Linked DNA regions of Oryzias latipes. The main gene of each other region encodes a partner of the protein of the gene in region 2 in a complex. Links are inferred from orthologs where the notes say so. Each region holds a gene or a part of one and is shown on either strand. Other genes may lie near its edges.

The links. Proteins that work in one complex are often made in the same cells at the same time.
Region 1: ahi1 (region 2) and tmem67 share a complex: the UniProt entries of both Homo sapiens proteins name them as parts of the tectonic-like complex. The link is inferred for Oryzias latipes from reciprocal best matches to the Homo sapiens genes AHI1 and TMEM67.

The regions. Positions count from the first base shown.
Region 1 is NC_019874.2:17,687,532-17,690,778, reverse strand, and holds part of tmem67 (meckelin), read right to left. Parts: intron 2,920-3,247; coding exon 2,856-2,919; intron 2,759-2,855; coding exon 2,687-2,758; intron 2,604-2,686; coding exon 2,541-2,603; intron 2,285-2,540; coding exon 2,130-2,284; intron 2,025-2,129; coding exon 1,916-2,024; intron 1,792-1,915; coding exon 1,705-1,791; intron 1,385-1,704; coding exon 1,319-1,384; intron 1,224-1,318; coding exon 1,070-1,223; intron 993-1,069; coding exon 872-992; intron 789-871; coding exon 683-788; intron 470-682; coding exon 413-469; intron 308-412; coding exon 209-307; intron 132-208; coding exon 33-131; intron 1-32. UniProt on the Homo sapiens protein: Required for ciliary structure and function. Part of the tectonic-like complex which is required for tissue-specific ciliogenesis and may regulate ciliary membrane composition.
Region 2 is NC_019880.2:267,504-270,569, reverse strand, and holds the end of ahi1 (jouberin), read right to left. Parts: intron 1,363-3,066; exon of another isoform or gene 1,141-1,362; coding exon 1,052-1,140; exon of another isoform or gene 960-1,051; intron 953-959; coding exon 784-952; 3' UTR 596-783; downstream 1-595. Other genes in the region: MFS-type transporter SLC18B1, read left to right, coding at 44-137, 261-307, 376-415. UniProt on the Homo sapiens protein: Involved in vesicle trafficking and required for ciliogenesis, formation of primary non-motile cilium, and recruitment of RAB8A to the basal body of primary cilium.

The DNA.
Region 1 (3,247 bases), on a different chromosome or scaffold from region 2:
TTATTTGTTTAAGTTTGAGGGACTCAACATACCTTGTAAAATATGAGCCAGTAAAGCCCAGTTCCCACAGTTACGGCAAAGAAAACATTAGCCAAATCTCCAGCATAAAACAACAGAAACTTTAGCATTGTCTAAAGAGGAGGAGAAAAAGGGCAATGTTCATATAAGGTTTTGTGCTTGAAATTATGCGTTTGATTAGAGACGGTACCTCCATGTCAATTAGGGGAGAGGCAATCCTCCGCTTCCAGCTAACTGTCTTTAGAATGGAATAGAGCGCCGCCAGGCCTCCCAGAACGCCCAGAGCAGTCTGTGCACACATAGCCCAAAATATACCACTGTTTGCTTTGATCCCAACGGTACAAAAAAAAAAAAAATGAACATTTTCCATTATTCCATTTTTGCATCGACTCACATCTGTCTTTGTGCGGGCCTCGCTCTGATCCATTTCATACTCCACAGAAAATGTCACCTATAAAAGATGCACACTGTGTTGAACCAAAGTTTTTGTGAAGATCTTTCAAATTGGTTAAAAGCTTCCCTTATCACAAAAATAATTAAGGTTCTTAAATGCCTTCACTTTTGAAAAATTTCAATGATACATTTTGCGTTTAATCAAAGCTTTGTTCTTGCTTCTGTAGGTAGAAAAACATTGTTGGGCATTCTTGAATTTCAGCCTACTCACAGGTAGAGTCTGGCTGTTGGCCTCCTTGATAAGAACATCTGTGTAGCTCACAGACACCAGAGGGGGATAGATCTGTCCCTCCTGAGTACGCGGAACCAGCTGGAACCTACCAAACACCATCACCAAATTCACATTATAGTCGGGAAAAGCAAGTTTCCAAAGCTTTTTGAATCCATTTTAATAGTTTACCTAATCTTGATACTAGTGGCCACCCGGATGACTTTAGGCAAAGAGCTTAGAGTTTTCTCTCTCCCACTTAATGTATCAACAAGAAAGATGCGTCGAGACAGATACCAGTTCTGCATGCTCCCTGGAAATAAAAATAAAATTAAATAAGATATCACAGATAAAATAAACAAAATGTGAACATCAAAGATAAAAATCCACCTTGATTGATGAACTGCCCATTATACTGCTGATTCTGAACTAGAGTTGGCAGAGGAAGAAGTTTTCTGTTGTCTCCTCCGCCCAGGTCCATGAACACATCGTAGAATAACGGCTCGGGATGTGTAGTGAGAAGTTCTGCTACTGAAAGCTCGCACTTTACACACAGAGTAAAAACAAATTAATAACACAATTATATGACTGGACAATACCAGTTTGTAGACTTTTAAGCAAAAGGGGTCTGACACTCACAGTTTCCTGATAAGTGGTCCCAAAGCTGAAGGCTGCTGCCTGCTTGAAGGCTTGTTCTGGACAAAGCTAAGAAACAAGACAGTTTGTCAACTCTCTATGCTAAATGGACAAGAAATGTTTCATTAAGTGGGTAAAACAGCAACAAAAAAATGTATTTATAAATGTAAACAAACATATTCAACATAGATAAATTTAACTTACAAAATAATCTTTGATTTATTTAATGAACTTTAGAGTTTAACAATAAGCCACATAAATATGTCAGTGATTTAGTTTACGGTAAATCTGATCTGATCATGTCCATCTCAGATCTAGAATACTTATTTTCCTGAGTCCAAATCAAATACTTCAGATACTTCAAATACTTTTTTTTTTGAAGCTCTTACCTGCAGGTTGTTTCCTCCAATGGGATCCCATCTGAGAAAGTCTCCTCTGACATTGTAGACAGCAGCAAGCAGCTGGATGTCAGTGTTCTGACAAAAACATACCACTTTGAATTAAAATGTGCATTTCTTAGTATTCAAAACAAATGGGGATATTTGTGTTAGCTTATCAGAATCTTTGAAAAGACTTGTAAAAAAAAAAAGAATCGCTAACCTTTTTTGTTCCTCTGAAACTGAAAGACAAGGGAACAGGTTTATTTTGGAGCACTTGGCCCGCCAGGCCCGGCTCATCTCCATAGTAAAGCCAAGGCAGGTTGGCCCTCCTGCCGACAAGAGTATCATATCTGTTTAGTGTCTGTTTTTTTTAATGTAAGGTAATTGCTGCATGAACAATGTAAAAAAGGAAAATCCAAATCAAACGTGAATACCAGTAAGAAATGTCTTGAACAGAGCTCAGAGCAGCCTTTGACCTAGAGATGGTGTTAAAGAGACCACAAGCATCTGTGGAAAGTCCAGTGAAGGAGTGCATGTTCATAACACACATGTTTCCGAGAGCCTGACACGCTGTCAAGTTGCTGAAGACCTGTGGGGAAAAAAACAAAAATATGATTTTCTTTTAATAAAACTCTAACTACAAAATTAATTTGGTGAAAAACGTATGTTTAAATCTGTTACAGTACATTCTAAAAATAATTTCGGTAAGAATTCTAACGATTGTTTATGGGAACATTTAAAGCTGTTTGTCCAAATTTAGGAAGGAAATTGACTTCAAGAAAAACAAACATGTTAAGTCATAATTTTTCTAAGAAAAAGAAGTTTTGTAAAGGCTGTGAAATTACAAGGCAAGCTGCTGCAGAAGAATAGAGGTTTTCCACAAACCAGGCAGACTGGATGCTAAACGCCTGTGAAGAAAATGAAAGAAAATCACAAGCAGGAAAAACATACAAGTATTATTTTCTAGGAAGAGAATTACACTTTGACTTACCAACTGAGCATAGCTGACACTTGGATTCACATTAGTGGAGAAGCTGCCTGGAGGAAAACATAAACCTCCAGCCTGCAAAAAATTACATTCACAATCATTTGTGATTTTGTGACTGCAACAGATTTCTGTGGATTTAGGGAATGTGCGGGTAGTAGATGACCAAACTCACCTGGACATTTGGGGATTGACACGTACAGAAGGTATTAGAGAAGGTAGCCTGGCATCGCTCACATCTGAAAGATAATTTTTGATATTGTATTGTTCATAAAAAAAACGATTACCGGTAACTTTTTCTCTAACTGCATCAACTCAACCAACAGTTCTACAGTAGTAATGGAGAGCAGGTATGATGGTCCAATATGGCATAAAAAGAGAAAATTGTTATAGCATAAGAAAATGTAGCTCGTGCTCATTAGAAACACGTGGAAATCAAGAAGAAAAAAGCAGAAACCAGTAAAGAAATTCAAAAAACAAAACAATAAACAACTACTGGATATTAAGCTATTTACCCTGTAACACATTGTCTTCTCATAATATTTTTGCTATTTGAAGCATTTTATG
Region 2 (3,066 bases):
TGTCTTTGATGTTTCTGGCCTGAAGTGTGGTCGTCTCTTACAGAATGTTTTACGGCCCCATTGTGGGCGGCCTTATCACCCAACATCTGACCTTTGAGTGGGCCGCCACCATCCAGGGGGGCGTGGGCCTTCTGGCTGTGAGTACTCCTGACTCTGCGGGGGTGGGTCCTCATCTTTGACCCACTTTGAAGGAGTCATGAATGTGATTAGCTCTGATCAATCATTAACCCTTTGTGCAGTGAAGCTGTCTCTGTCCACAGGCCCTCCTCCTGGGGATGTACTCCCTCTGGGAGCGCCGGCGGGGGAGGTAACGTCAGATCCATCATCAGGAATCTTCCTCATCAACCTGAAGTCTGAGAGTTTCTGTCTTTGCAGCGTGCAGCAAACAGCAGAAAGCACTCCTTTGCTGGACTGAGGAAACATCTAGGGGCGGGGCCAGCCGCTCTGCTCACGGAGAGAAGATCTGAACGCCATTCCTGCCAGAACGGGCCTTTGTCCGGAGCTTTTCCTGCTTAACAGCTTAGGTCTGGTGAGCGGGATTATTCCCCCAAAAACCTCCAGAGAGCGGACAGGAATCCTGTTCACACGGAGCCGCTTGTTTCACGGGTTTTTACTGTAAATAGTACAAAATAAAACTTTCCTGAACACAATGTTCTTGTTCCTCACACAAACACCTGCAGCCTCAAACACCAAAGATCTTTGGGTAATTTCTGACGGAGAACGCAGCAATAATGCTGTGGAGTATTAGTGACATCAGAACGGCTCTCTGGGTTTGTCCACAGTTTACGTGTCGGCCTCAAAGGCCCTGTTGGACCTCCCCGCTGGTCTCGGTGGCAGAGGTCTGCCTCTTATGGTTCTGGTCGACCCAGAAGTATCTGCGTCAGAAACTGTAGTCTGAGATGAAGACACAGGAACTCCAGGCTTTTTCACCTTCTTCTTTCTTCTGGTTCTGCTTTCAGGAAAGAAATGGATCCTTCAGGAACTCAGCCAGACATGTTTGTGTTGGGGTAACTGGATCTGTGTGGTTCTGGAGGATATAGGAGCTTCTTACCTGGCGTCAGTCAGTTCTGGTTCAGTGTCTGACAGAGTGGGTTCGGACAGAAACCTGAGCTCTCCGGACGAGCTGACAGCAGCAGAGACCTGAAAACCAGGAGGGGGTCAGAGAGGAACAGTTCAGACAAAGTCCGTCTTTAGATCATGACATTCCTGAATGATCCGGATCGGCCGTCTTCCTGTTAAATATAAGCCGGATTTCAGGAAGATGGTCTTTGTTCAGCATGAAGTCAGTCAATACTTTAGTTTGCATTAACATGAGCAGAGAAGGCAGAGTTTGGTTCATGTCTAATAAAAAAAGAAACTGACCATCTTCTGGTCTGTTTTCAAAGGCTTCCCAGAACGGAGCGAGCAGGGAGCTTGTGGCCCCGCCCATTTCACTTGCTGCTCAACAATTTGAATATAGAAATACTCAGATATGCATTTTAATCTTCTTTTATGCAAGTTCTCCATTGTGAGAAAAGGCCACCAGTACATGTTAAATCACCGATGCCATCGGAGTGGGTCTTTGAATCAGAAAACTACGGTCTCGCCAACAGATTACAGAATATGTTCAATATATATATTAATATATGTTAAACCGGTTCATGGCTGGATGCAGAGCCGATGGTCTGTGGTTGATCTTTAACGGTCAGATCTATCATTTGTTACTTCTGTAATCACCACTTTAACTGCCTGATGGGAAGTTCTCAAAGGGTCCGGACCAGTCCAGAACCACCCAGACATCATATAAAATATGATGATATGATAAATATATCATATATCATATATAAAAATGTTGCACTTCCCGCTCGGCCAGCAGGGGGGCGTGATCCTGCTGGATCATTTGATTATTAATGGAAGCGTCTTAACATTCCAGGAACCAAAACCAAATGTACTCCTGTTGAGGGGAGTTTGTAATGTGTTTGTAAAGTGTGAATGAACCCACTCACTGTCATAAGCACACCCTGGACCTTGTTCTAACCCATGGGATAGAGATCAGCCAGCTGAGTGTCCTTCCTCTTAACCCCATCATTTCTGATCACTTTCTGATTACCTTCCAGTTTACACTGGAACATCCTTCTGTCCCAGTGAATAAGAAACAGCTTAGAAGAACCTTAACTGACCGTTCTGTGTCTGAGTTTAAACACACAGTTCAGCCAGTACTTAGTGATATTCTGAGAAAATACTCTGAGACCAGCTCCCATAGTATCAGTCCTAGTATAAATGACCACTTTGTTAATGATGCCTTACAAGCCCTCAGGAGTACACTCCATGTTGTTGCCCCCTTGAAACCTAAGTTTGTTAGACAAAACCGAGTAGCACCGTGGTTTAACGCTGAAACTCGTTCTCTTAAACAAGAAACCCGTAAGTTGGAAAGAGAATGGCGCCGCTCCGGTTCAGAGCAGTCTCTGAATACCTGGAAACATAGCCTATTAAATTATAAAAAAGCTCTGCGTAGAGCTAGAAGCCAGTACTATTCAACCTTAATATCAGAGAATGGAAACAATCCAAGATTTCTTTTTAGCACTATAGCTAAATTAACTCGCAGTCAGAGCTCAGTAGAACCACATGTTCCTGTTTCTCTCAGCTCTGATGATTTTCTTACATTTTTCGATAGTAAAATCTCAAATATTAGACATAAGTTAAATCAAGTTATTCCTACTATCAGCCCAGAACAGGCTGAAGCGGTAGAAATGGAGGCATCCATAGAAACCTCTGTAACATTGGACTGCTTCACTGCTGTGGATCAAGCGGAAATAACATCAATTATTACGTCCTCCAAATCCTCAACGTGTCTGTTAGACCCAATTCCCACTAGACTTTTTAAAGAAACTTTTCCCCTAATTAATGATCCCATATTAACAATGATAAATACCTCTCTGGAAACGGGTTACGTGCCACAGTCTTTTAAATATGCAGTTGTTAAACCTCTACTGAAAAAGCCCAGTTTGGATCCTAGCATCTTGGCCAACTATAGACCGATATCAAACCTGCCCTTTATTTCTAAAATCCTAGAAAGAGTTGTAGTTA